3 linked regions of the Oryzias latipes genome follow. The protein of the gene in region 3 purifies or fractionates together with the protein of the main gene of each other region. This does not show direct contact. Links are inferred from orthologs where the notes say so. Each region holds a gene or a part of one and is shown on either strand. Other genes may lie near its edges.

Evidence for each region.
Region 1: the proteins of polb (region 3) and lig3 purify together in Homo sapiens (affinity purification with mass spectrometry; 3 studies listed by BioGRID and IntAct, counting the BioPlex papers as one, with this or other methods). This does not show direct contact. The link is inferred for Oryzias latipes from reciprocal best matches to the Homo sapiens genes POLB and LIG3.
Region 2: the proteins of polb (region 3) and parp1 purify together in Homo sapiens (affinity purification with mass spectrometry; 4 studies listed by BioGRID and IntAct, counting the BioPlex papers as one, with this or other methods). This does not show direct contact. The link is inferred for Oryzias latipes from reciprocal best matches to the Homo sapiens genes POLB and PARP1.

The regions. Positions count from the first base shown.
Region 1 is NC_019872.2:27,669,393-27,673,987, forward strand, and holds the start of lig3 (DNA ligase 3), read left to right. Parts: upstream 1-1,684; 5' UTR 1,685-2,165; intron 2,166-2,869; 5' UTR 2,870-2,895; coding exon 2,896-3,445; intron 3,446-4,595. Other genes in the region: tmem248 (transmembrane protein 248), read right to left, coding at 782-784. UniProt on the Homo sapiens protein: Isoform 3 functions as a heterodimer with DNA-repair protein XRCC1 in the nucleus and can correct defective DNA strand-break repair and sister chromatid exchange following treatment with ionizing radiation and alkylating agents.
Region 2 is NC_019882.2:7,704,173-7,708,426, reverse strand, and holds the start of parp1 (poly [ADP-ribose] polymerase 1), read right to left. Parts: upstream 2,824-4,254; 5' UTR 2,714-2,823; coding exon 2,591-2,713; intron 1,098-2,590; coding exon 932-1,097; intron 770-931; coding exon 654-769; intron 584-653; coding exon 369-583; intron 1-368. UniProt on the Homo sapiens protein: Poly-ADP-ribosyltransferase that mediates poly-ADP-ribosylation of proteins and plays a key role in DNA repair.
Region 3 is NC_019867.2:6,236,622-6,241,022, forward strand, and holds the start of polb (DNA polymerase beta), read left to right. Parts: upstream 1-1,376; 5' UTR 1,377-1,517; coding exon 1,518-1,578; intron 1,579-1,874; coding exon 1,875-1,932; intron 1,933-2,807; coding exon 2,808-2,874; intron 2,875-3,096; coding exon 3,097-3,171; intron 3,172-3,254; coding exon 3,255-3,313; intron 3,314-3,458; coding exon 3,459-3,508; intron 3,509-3,622; coding exon 3,623-3,674; intron 3,675-3,744; coding exon 3,745-3,799; intron 3,800-3,889; coding exon 3,890-3,962; intron 3,963-4,031; coding exon 4,032-4,102; intron 4,103-4,176; coding exon 4,177-4,263; intron 4,264-4,399; coding exon 4,400-4,401. Other genes in the region: enkd1 (enkurin domain-containing protein 1), read left to right, coding at 294-430, 566-702, 805-965.

The sequences.
Region 1 (4,595 bases), on a different chromosome or scaffold from region 3:
AACTAGCCTTTGGCTAATTCTACCTTTTTAAAAATCTTGTGTAATCATCTGTTTTTTAGATTGCACTTTTAAATAGATGGGGGGTGGGGGGGTGGTAATGTTTATGATGTTGAACCTATTGATAACTTAAATGAGGATATCAAATGTTTATTTTTTCTTTAGATTTTACTTATTCTGCAAACCCAAAATAAAACCACAAACTCGCTTCAAAGGTTTTCGCTTTTAGCAGAAGTTAAACAAATAATGTACACAAACACACTGCATGATGGTTGACAGTACACATAAAAAAGCACAGTTGTGAGGTTGTGATAACATGCCGGACATGAAGGACAAGGTGACAAACACTCAAGATAAACAAAAGCAACGCGGACTCGTCCAAACAGATATTTGCAGAGAAAACCCCAAGCTTCAGGTATTTTTCCAGCCACGTTTATTTTCCACGCCTACAAGTTATTTATGATAAATACATATTGAGTTATGTTTACCTGTAAGCACGTATGGCTGGACAACAATCCCAACAAAAAAGCGACTTAAACTTAACTGTCGTTAGAACAGATTATAATTTGCGAACACAAAAACGGTTAAAGATAGAATAAATTAAAAAACAAACAGCTTTCGTTATGAAATATTGCTAAACGTAACCACCTAATATTAGCTGTCAACCTAATTTAGACGTCAAGCTAACCGCTTGACAACGACGTCTCAGAGACGTGACGTATTTCGCGTGACACTTAATTTTAATAGAAAGAGGCGGATAAATATTTAAAAAATGAAGTTTTACCATTTTTTCTCCCGTTGGAGGCAAGAAAGATGCGAGCTGGGCGGTGCGTCGCGGGCCACAACAAGCCTGCAACCTCACGAACAAGTTAGCGTCCAAGCTAGCTTGATGCTAAAATCCAAGCTAGTTGTTCTTCCTGAATACAACGCAGAAACACAAACGTCTGTGTTCGAAGGGGAAACTCAGACAGTCGACATGCGGACAGTCGCCGCGTCCCATTCTTCTCCTTTACGTTCCTTGAAGGTTAAAAGAGAAAAGTATCCACCGCTGAGTCTGGAATAGCGTCAAACAAAATATATGGGTCCTCCCTACGAGGTAAACTGCGCGTGCCCGCACTGCGTAGTGACAGCGCCGCGGTATTTACGTACGAGATGGGTCCGGAAACCCGCCGCCGCGCGCGCATCTCGTGTCATAGAACGCAATTTACGTAGCTTTCATGAGGAGGCCACTGTTTCCACGTTTATTCTGTTTTGTTTGTTGTCATGCTATTTTTTTTTAGATTTGGTATATCTAATAAATAATATAATAATTTAAATCATAATATAGTTTTTACCGACTGAAAGCTTAATTTCTTTCTTTTCTTTAACGTGAGGACACAAAAAAGTAGCCTCTTAGTAACACATCTTTTCATTGGTATTAAATCGTATGCCGTTGATACAAAACAAAATAATAAAAAAAATCCAAACCAATGCAATACAATACAATATAGAAATATTGATTTCACTTCTCTCACTCTCAACCAATCAAACTTTAACAAACTTCACATGTAATAAATTCAGAGTGCAAACATGTCTTTTTATATTTAATAGTCATTATGAAGACATAAATTTATTTCACATGTGAATTTCTTTATGGTCTTCTCGTATTTATTTTTCAATCACTTTATGACAAAATCTTGGGAAAGATCTGACATCTGTATTCAATCTTTTTTGGAGCGTTTTTTAAGTGCTGTAAATCAGCCAACAGCTAATGTAATGTCTAATGTGACAACTTCAGTATTTTCACTAACCTTTTATGGAGAAAAATTAGACTGTGAAAAACGATAGAACTGTGTAGCGACTGTGATGACGGCGTGTAGACGCACGGGGGCGGTGATGAGCGGGAACGGATGTCGAAATAAGCCCAGAAGAAGAATGTCATTGTGTGGACTGTTGCCTGCTGTCCACGCTGTTAACCCTTTTTCCTTTTGCGTAATACTCACATTTGGAAAAGTATATAAACAAACCAAACATATTTAAATGGAGTTGTCGCTTTGTCCCGCCAAACCGTAGGTTTACGAAGCACGAGCGTCTAGCCTGACGTTTGTGAAGAAGCCGCTTGTTGTTGCTAAACAATCGAGGCAGAGCCGAAACTCTTAAGAAAACAGCGCTTTAGCGCCGCTTACGAGGTAAAGTCTCAATTTGTGACATAAAATCTTTTTTTATGTTTCGTCCTTTTCTGGTAGATTTCAGTGCAGTTTTATTTTACCCGAGTGTTATTTGAAAAGTAAACAGAGCTAAAGCTAGCAGCACTTGACCGAATCGTTTGTTAGCTTTCAACCCAAAATTAATTCATTTTTTTTATTAATTATTAAGCACTATTTTCTTTTGGGATTACTAAAGAAAATTTTTAAAATATGTACCCTTGAAAAACTGAATTTGCTTATGCTTTATTTATCATTTAACCAAAAAATCAGGAAAAGTAAGAATCAAGTCATTACACTTTATTAACCTTCAATTGATTTAAAAAAACTTTCTGTAAACCGAAATGTTGGAATAATATCTTTGATGGAAATAAATAAAAGGTTTAAACGTGTTAATTTAGTAGTTTAATGAAAAACATGTTTCTTTAAATCGTCTTTTACATGATATCATCGTAATTTAATTAAGTTATTTAAGGTAATAAGTCATGATAAAGTAAAGTTTCATCTAACCAGTAAAAGGTTTTTTTTTTTTTTTGCTTATTGTTTGATAAACTCAAAAATCAAATTAACGAGTAAACGTAAAAAATTAACTTTTCAAGACATATTAGGTCAAACAAAACCGAATTGTATTTTTTGTGATTTGCTTGTGCATTTTTCTTGAATATAACCGTCGTTTTGTTGTGTTTTAGGTTGCTAACTGCACAGTCAACAATACATGCAGAGACTTCTCCTCACATCCATCCAGAAGACTGTCTGTTTCGGTGGAAAACCTTCTGGCTCCTTTGTTAGACGTCAGCAGCTCTCTACTACGTGCAGAGTCGCCTTTTCCCGTTCTGCTGACCAGCTTCCCTCCAGTTTTTCTGCAAAAAGATTTTCACAGCAAACCTGTCTGTGTCACTCCACCCCCTCCAAACCCAGCCTCCCTCGTTTCTCCGCTTCCTGGCTGTTCCTGCGACGGCGTTTCTCTACTCGACCGGAAATGGCGGATCAGAGGTTCCTCGTGGAGTACGCCAAACGGGGCACGGCGGGCTGCAAGAAGTGCAAGGACAAAATCCAGAAGGGCATCGTGAGGATCGGCAAAATCGTGCCGAACCCCTTTAGCGAGTCTGCCGGGGAGATGAAGGAGTGGTATCACGTGAAGTGCATCTTTGAGAAGCTGGAGAGGGCGAGGGCCACCACCAAGAAGATCGAAGACATCACCGATCTGGAGGGCTGGGAGGAACTGCAGGATGAAGACAAGGAGCTCATTAACAAACACGTCTCAGGTATTCAAAATGACTTTCCAATGAAGAATCTGAATCTCATCAGGACTTCTAACGCTCGCCGGGAGCAGGCGGCTGGTTTAACAAGTCTGATTTACTCGACCGACCAGTAGAAATAACCTTAAGAAACAATGACTGCATGTTTGCTGTTGGCTTTATGTGAGATGGGATGCCGGTACTTTTGGTTTCTTTTGTGGCGTAAGAAAACTTGAGTGTGGCAGAAAAAGCGAGCTGGGATACAGACGGCAGGAAGGCTCGGCGGAAATGGAAAGTTTGTACAAACAAAATAATAGTTGAATATCGTCCAGAAAAAGTAAATGTAGCTGCGTGTCAACTTAAAGTAGCAGAAAGTGCAGTTCAGATTTGAAAAAAGAGAAAACTTTTGAGAGAAAAATAGCTTATTTGTGATACGCTGGGTGATCACAAACTCTCTGCTTCGAGCTCTGAGCAATGGGAGTCCATAACATAACTCTGATGAACTCCTGCCGCTCTGCAGAAACTATGTCCTGGAAAACAACACAGGTTTTGGATTTTGGCAAAAAAAAAAAAATCCTAACTGAAAGGCCGCCTGGAAGGCTTTGAAAGCTCATCAGATGATGATCGGAGCGGGTTTCAGGATGGCTTCTGTCCTGAACTGCTAACCAACATAAGGGCTTGAGAACAGGAGGGATGTTCTTCTGGTTCTGATCCAAACCCTGGCAGCAGCATCCTGCTTATTGAGGAAGACTGTTGCTGTAGTCCAGCCGGCAGGAACCAGCCTCTGGTTTGGCTGAAACTGGGTTCTGAGTCGGTTGTTCTGACACCAAGAACTGTTTTTCCCCCCCAGAGTGAGGCTCTTCTGTTCCTTTCAGTCGTTCCGTCTCGTTTCCAAAAACAATAACTGCTGTGTGTCGGCGCTGAAGGAAACCAGAACCGTAGCTCCTCTGAGCTGCAGACGGTGTGAAGGCCCACAGCGACCGGGAGTCGGCTACCGTCTGACACGTTCTTCATGGGGTTTCTACCATTTCACTTTTCCTTAGGATAAAAAAAAGTAGAAATAGAATAAAACGAATGCAGTGATGTCTTCACAATAGTTAGCAGATAAGGTAAGGAGTGTGTTTTGGACACGGGAGGACAGACCCGTCATACAAGTCTCTCATATCTCAAACTATTA
Region 2 (4,254 bases), on a different chromosome or scaffold from region 3:
TCCTCCTGCTTTGCCCAAAGTGCCCCGTTCCGCTGGAGCTGCTGCTCACCACCATCATCCTGTCCCACGCCAACTCTGCTGTGAACCCCTTCCTGTATGCATACACCATGACGGCTTTCAGGGACGCCTTTAAGGCCATTTTTCTGTGCTGCAGGTCGATGGGAGAGGCAGAGATTTTAAGTGGAAACAACAGAGGAGATGAGAGAACTTCTAGACCAAACCAAGTCTGTGAGAGCTGAGTCAAAGCTCTTAGTCAAACTTTTATATATATATATATATATATATATATATATATATATATATATATATATATATATATATATATATATATATATATATATATATATATAGTTTTTGTTACTCCTCACCCCTCAGTTTTTACAGCAGGAAGCCTCTTCTTCAGCTCCTCCTTGTCTTCTGCCCGCAGCACATTGAATCCCTTCAGCTGAGCAGCGCTGTAATCAGGTTTGAAAGCCAGCTCCTCTCTGCGGCTCACAAAACATGCAGTGTGGTACCAGCGGTCGATCAGGCCCAGCTGAGGCTTCTCTGCATCCACCACTTTCTTAGACACACGAATCTGATCCTGGAGGAGAGGTCAGAGGTCACAGGCGTGCTTTCCGTTAATGAACTGTTTAAACGAAGCTGCAGCAAACCTTTTCTATTTTCTGCTGACATCCTTTGCACGTGCTGCGGTTTGATTTGGCGTACTCCACCGCAAAGTCGTTCAGCGTCTTTTCTCCTTTAGCCGCACCACCAGAGTTTCCCTTTCCTGCAAGATGGAGACCTCAATTTACCCCGCTGTGCTTTAAGTCAGAATTTTCAACAACCTACAAAAAGTAAACAAAAGCGACTTTCCGATGACTAACATTCACCACGCTGATAAACGTCAATTCATTTCCCGTGTGCACAAACAGCTCAGACAAGCACAGACCTGTTCCGGCCACTCCACCACTTTCTATGGCTTTTTTGACAGCTTCCTGGTCCGCCCAGCGGAGATCCGAAAACCCGCCGACATCGGCCGTGGACTGCACCGAGGCTCGCTGCCAGAAGCAGGAGAAGTGATGCCAGTGAGGGACCTTCCCGTCGAACATGGGGGACTGCGGGACACAGAGTAAACATAGGCGTGAACACATTCAGCTGCAGAGTTATAGTTTTCAGTCTGTCTGTATCTGCCGGGTTTGGATGATTCTGGAAAAAAATGATGGGTTTGCTGCTCATATCAGATCATCTGAAAGCTCCAGTGTAGTTTGGTGGTGAATTGAACAAGATAGTTGAAAAGTTGAACAAAGAACAGACAAAAAACATTTTTATGAGACGAGTAAAGGATGTAAAATAATTTAGCAATACCGTAATATTTTTTGAAGGTGAAATGGGAGGAAAAAACTAACCCTTTGAAAAAAATAATTGTACTATTGTCGCCATGTCCTGCTCCTTTTAAAAATGACTTTTCTCAATTTTTCTGTACAGTTTAAGAAAAATAAGAGGCTTTTCAAATTATCTTTAACATTTTAGCTGTAGTGACTCGCCAAAACAAAAGCGCAATTTTGTTTTTATTTAAATCATAAAAAATACCTTCAAATAAAAACTTGAACATCTTTCTAATTCCACAAACAAATACAAACTGTAATAAAAGTTTTGTTTATATATGTGTTTAATTATTATTTTTACATTTTATTCCTTACGTTTAGATTTAAATTGCTCGCCTTAAATTAAACATTTTAACTGTTTATTTAATAATATCAATAACCATCAATTGATCAGTCTGAAGGATGGGAAATTTACAAATATAAATCTGAATACAAATGATTTAAATATATATATATATATATATATATATATATATTTTTTTTTTTTTAAAGTTTAGTTGGTGCCAATTTTTACTCTGTGCTTTTGATATAAAATTTTTGACAATAAAAGCAATCAGTCTAGATATGATCTATTTTTTTTTTATAAATACCTGTGATTGATATTTACATTTTTCATCCTAATTTTTAAATTTGCATTAGAAATTAGTTTTATACAATTTACTGGATTATAGATAATAATTTTTTTACCTGCATATTAATTTACTTGAATGTCAACGTATTTTTCCAAAAATATAAATTCTACTTGCATTAATTGCTTGTAGAATAATAATTAATTATGCAAAGTTTAGTATTTCAAATCCATCTGCTGAAACGGAAGCCTGTGGTAGACAAAATACTAAATGAATAAATAAAAGGAAAAAGCGAATGAAGTAAAGAAAGTAGTGAGCGGTACACGTTCCCCCGAAAGACAAGCGATAGAATCACCAAGACTGAGTCAGACTGAGAGGCAGCAGTGATTTTTCCTCACATTTCTGCTTGAATGCCGGAAAGTGCATTTATTTGGAGCATCTCTGCGGCTCTTTGTGCGGAAGATTTAGCAGCCATAAATGCTAACGAGGGCCCAAACCAGTCCAGACGAAACCGGAACTACTCAGGCCTATATATCACATTTTCAAAAACACACTTTTATTTTTTTTTTACATCTGCTGAAGCTGCTTGGTAAACAAGTGAGTCTGTAGGAATAATTCCGCTCCCGGGTGTTTCCTTGGACCGCCGCTGCTTACCTGCACCACGATGGCCATCCTCAGCGAGTCCTTCGCGATTTTCTCCTTGCATTTCTTGCACGAAGCCTGGCCGCTTTTGGCGTACTCTGCTCGGAACAGCTTGTCATTCTGGGAGTCGGCCATAGCTTCCCTTTATCCTTAAAAAGCTGAACCGAAGACGACAAAGTTTCTCCACCAGAGCACGAGGAGCAACAACAGGGACAACGCGAAGAGCAGCGAGCAAGATCCAGTAAAGAGGGCTTACTCTGACTCTTTTTTGTCAAACCTCCGATACAAGCGTTAGTTGCCAATGGACGCTGAACCTGGGCGCATGTCCACAAATATCTGATAGATGCGGGCATATTTATCCAGATAGCTACAGAAATCACAGCTAACCGAACCTAAGAAACGGGGTTACATACTTCCATTCCTTCAGCATATCTTTCAAAACATCTTTGCATGCAGAGCCTGTAGAATGGAAGTTTATGTTTTTTGTTGTTGTTATGAAAATCATATTTATTGTTTAAGTTATCCATACTCACAAGCTCTTATTTAGAAATTTAGAAAACAGCCGGCTTCTGATATTCCTTGGACATCATTAAAAGAAAATGACAATTGGCTTTTCTGCAGGAAGCTTCTTTTCTTTCTGCTTTCATTTACTTACTACCATTCTACCTTTTCTTTCGTTTTCTTTTATCTATCTACCTATCTATCTACCTATCTATCTATCTATCTATCTATCTATCTATCTATCTATCTATCTATCTATCTATCTATCTATCTATCTATCTATCTATCTATCTATCTATCTATCTATCTATCTATCTATCTATCTATCTATCTATCTATCTATCTATCTATCTATCTATCTATCTATCTATCTATCTATCTATCTATCTATCTATCTATCTATCTATCTATCTATCTATCTATCTATCCATCCATCCATCCATCCATCCATCCATCCATCCATCCATATCTATATATCTAATTTTCAGAAAGTAAATAGTTTAAAGTAAATTAGACAAAAAAGTAAGACGTACAAGAAGAAATATGATTTTGTGAAGATCTCTTGGTATGTAAATCACTTTTTTCATTGAAAAAAATCAGATGGACAACATAATTATTATCCTATAACTGTTGGAATAAACTGTCAATCGTGGAAATAAATCAAATATTACATTTTTTGTGTGCATGTATACTTCTACTTTTTGTTACAAGTTTTTCTTCATAATGCAACTTCTTCTGTATGTTTATGTTTTTAAGTCTGACCTTAATAAGAAGAGCTAGGCTATTGTTTTCGTATTATTATCCTTAGATGTTTTTTAGAACAATGGTAATTTTTTTGTTCAGTTTTGTCGATTGGAAGAATTAAAGAAAGAACTTAAGATTTGATCAACTGAAATATATTTATTTATAAATTTATTTAAAAAAACAAAAACGAAATATTATTATTTATGTATATTTATTTGTCCTCTTGGTCATTCCTCAGGAGCCACTCAACCGCATAAACAACACTCCTCTAAAATATGTTCAACAAAAAGTATTCAAACTTGAAATGTTTCATAAAAAAATGTCAAGCGATCCATTTTTCACAATAGACGATATTTGGATACCTCACAGAGTACCCGCGCTCGCTTCAGTCTAAAACAATCGAATGAAGAGAAGTCGATCCTTGCAGTCTG
Region 3 (4,401 bases):
CAGAGTATTAGAGGAGTACTCAGAAATGCTTGAACAGAGCAAAATACCGCTTTGGGTTTTTTTTTTTTGTGAGGAATTAACATTATAATTCTAAAAAAAATGATTTTGCATGGTATAGGCCCTTTAATGGGAATAACTATTATTGGAAATAAGATTTAAAGCCTACTTTTTTGAAAAGCCTCAAGTTTGTTTTTAAAACTGAAGAAATAAACATTCAAAACACATTTTATAAGAAAAAAGCTCTCTGGTGTGTTGGATCCATGTCTTCGATCTTTTCTTTGTCCCTTTCTAAGGTGCAAGGTCAGGCAATAAACTTCATCAGACACAATGCCAGAGCCGCAGGAAAAACTGTGACTCGCCGTTCTCAGTCACTGACAGACCTCAGAGATAAACCTGTGCCCAGCGCAGTCAAAGGACAGGTCCCGCAGTAGTAAGTATTCCAACAAGAAAATTGACCTTCTTAACAGGCTTTAACTTATCCACGATCCCCTCTGAGATGGAAAAAGTTTTGATAATCTAATTAATAACTTAAAAGTATGTTTCGTTTTGAACATTGCACTTACAGCCTTGAGGAAAGGAAAGCACAGTGGCGCAAAGAGGAGGAGGAGAGAAAAAGAAACACACCCGATCCTACAATCCCACCTGGTCACACCTTAATGCAGGACAGTGAAAGGCAGGAAACACTGAAATCTCTGAAAGATAGTATGTATTTACCTTCACCTTTAGTTGATTTTGATACTTAATACACCACGTATAGTGTGAGACTTTATAGTTCCTTGGTTAATTATACTTTTTCCTCCTCAGCTCATCGCACCCTGGTGATGGAATTAAACTCACTCCCTCTGAAAGCAGACAACCTGAGTACTCGCTCACGTCGGGCTCATCTTGACTGCAGGCTTTCTGAAATTGAGGAGGCAATAAAGATATTCTCCAGGGACAAAGTTTATATCAAAACTGATTCCTAACATCTCAAGAAGAGGATATATAAAGAGGATATATAGGAAAGGGTGGAATAGGATCCTTAAAAATCAACACAATTTAGATACTGCTGTGGAAATATACCCAAAAAAGTTGTACATTAGATTTATTTGCTTTGAATGCATTTTTTATTTTATAAAATGTATACATGGTATCTTGAAAAACAGTTGTGTATCTGCTTGTAATTTATTTATTTTGCTTTTGAGCTGTATTTGATGTATTGTAGCCACATAACTGTCAGTAATGAAAATGTATATTTTTCTTTCTTAAATCTTATCCAATAATACTTTGTACAGAACCAGTGTCTTTGTCTTTTTATGTATTATACCCAATTTAACCATAAATACACTTGAATCCTTTTTGACGAAGTGCGCACGCGCAGCCCCGCCCCCACCATGTCTCATTGTTCAGAGCAAGCTAACTTTTGCTAACGTGGTAGTCAGAAACTGACTGACACCTTGCAGCTTGTAATCGCTTTCGCACGCAAATATTACTTGGGAATTTTTTTTAAAACACTACAATAGTGAATTACATCCACTATGAGCAAAAGAAAAGCACCACAGGAATCTCCAAACGAAGGAATAACGGACTTTCTCATCGGTAAGTGAAGTTAAGGTTTGCTAGCAGAAGCTAGCCTTTCCATTTAAAAATAAATACCCACATATCTTGCTAATTATGCTTTATTGAGAGTGGCCCCGTTGATTATGTTTCTTTCTCGTCAGTTAGAAAGCATCAAGGTTACTTTGATGTACAATATTTAAACTTAATGACTATGATAAAATCACTCAAACATAAAGCCGACTCTAAGCTAGCAGAGTTAAGCTGATGAATGGGCGGATCGGTGTTTTGAAAATCATGAGAGGTGGGAGAATGCCTTAATGGGTTTCTGTTTGCAGAGTTGGCCAACTACGAGAAAAATGTCAACAGGGCAATACACAAGTACAATGCTTACAGGTATGTTCGGGAGAGTAAGGGAGTGTAAGCCCCATTGTTGTTGTTTTTAAAAATAATTACTATAGCAATGATGTCTGCCCAAAACATCCCCTTTTCACAATTTTTACATTTAAATATGTCCATGCTCTTTGAATCCTTCCTGTGAAATACAGAAATTTTCACTAAATCTTTCATAGAGCCGAGAACCTAACATTGTGCTTTGTTTGTGTTGCATGATGAGTGTGTGTTTTGTGGTTCCTTCTGCTTTCTCTCTTTGCTGCTCCCTTGGTATCGCTGCACCGAATCATCCGCCTCCATCCACTAAACCTCCTCTGCATCCTCCTCACTCACACTACCCACCTTCTCCTCAACAACATCCATGAACCTCCTCTTTCCTGTAGCTCCAACCTCAGCATCCTTTGATCAACATTATCACTGTCCTTCCTTTGAGCGTGTCAAAATCATCTCAGTCTGCTTCCCTGCATTTATCCTCAAAACATCTCACACCTTTCCTTATCTCATCCATCCTCATCACACCCAAAGAGAACCTCAGCATCTTCATCTCTGCTACCCAAAGCTCTGCCTCCTGTCACATCAGAGCCACTCTCTCTAATTCAAAAACATGGCTGCTCTTACCACAGTTTTCTGCGGCTTTCCTTTCGTTCTTTCTTTTGTTACACTACACACCTTCCTCCACCCGTTGCAACCCGCTTGCACATGCCTCTTTTCCCACACTCTTTGTTGTTCTGGACTGTGGACCTTAAGTACTTAGTCCTCCATTTTCTCCACCAACTTCTCAGCAACACGATTTTCTTATCTTCTTCAGTCAGAGTTTAATACCTGCGTTGATATTTTTTTTTTAATCTTATTTTTTTTACCTCTTTCATTCATAATAGGAAAGCAGCATCTACCATTTCTAAATACCCAAGCAAGATTAGGAACGGAGAAGAAGCAAAAAAACTGGTATGTGCTGATATATATATATATATTTAAAATATCTCCTATTTGATGTGAAATTTTCCGAATTGTTTTTTGTTGTCTTAAGAATGTGTTAATGTTTTAAGAAGTGTTTTATGAGCTCTATCTGAACCTAAACTATTTTGTTAACTTACATTTTCTATAACTCCTGAAAATGCTGAAGCATCCGCCTACGTATTTACATTCAATTCCTCTTTCATGATTCAGGATGGTGTTGGTGCCAAAATAGCAGAAAAGATTGATGAATTTCTACAAACTGGCAAACTAAGAAAACTAGAAAAGGTGAGAGTTTACTGATACTGCAGAGGATGTGCTGATAGAATCCATGTTGTCACACAAACTGATTTATTTATGTTTTTCGATAGATCCGAAATGATGATACCAGCTCTTCCATCAACTTCCTCACTAGAGTTACTGGAATTGGGTATGTTGGTAATGTTATTCGTATAGTTGGATGACATGGTTTTTATTGACCTTTACAGTGGTCCTTCAAGAGAAGCTAAAAAAGTTATTTCTGTTCTGCAGATATGATTTAAAAAACATATAATTAGTGTGTCTTTTTTATTTAGCCCTGCTGCCGCCAGGAAGTTTTTTGAAGAAGGGGTGAAGACATTAGATGGTTTGTAAAGTCTCTTATGTGCATTACTATTATGTGACATCAGTATGAATGTGTTGCAAATTCTAAAATGTTTTGCATTATGTTGATTTTCCGTATGTTCCTATTCTTTTGCAGATTTGAAAAAGGTTGAGCACAAACTTAACCACCATCAAAAGATTGGACTCAGGTAAAGGTTTGACATTTACTTATTCAAATACTCAAAAATGACTGTTTAGTGACTAATCTGCTTCATTTAGGTACTTTGAAGAGTTTGAGAAAAGGATCCCAAGAGCTGAAATGGAACAAATGGAGGTAGTTTTTCCTTTTGCTTCTATGTTTTCTACTTCCGGGCTGGAAAGTGTCGTGTATTTGTCAAGCTTTTCATCATCTTGTGTTTTTAAGGCTCTTATCATTGCTGAGTTGGAGAAAATTGATCCAGAATATATTGGAACAATATGTGGAAGCTACAGAAGAGGTGATCTTTACTGTCTTTAGTCATTTTCTTTACTGGTTGGTGGCGTTTGTAACTGTTTATGGTTTCCAGGTGCAGCGTCGAGTGGTGATATTGATATTTTGCTGACCCACCCAAACTACACCTCGCAGACTGAGAAACAGGTAAAAAGTAATCTCATGAATACTTTTATTCCCATCTTTATCTGCAACTCAGTTTTCTGTTCTTTTGTCCTCAGCCCAAGCTCCTCCATGCTGTGGTTGAACACTTGGAGTCCATTGGCTTTGTGACTGACACTCTGTCCAAAGGAGACACCAAGTTCATGGTGAGCCTTCAGCTTGTTTTTCTTTCATGCACTCAGCTCCATGCAATTCCATTAGGTAACAGGGTTAGTGCAGTAACTGCATGCATCAGCTGCAGCACATGACTCTGCTCATGATGTGCTGATCTTGTTTTTTCAGGG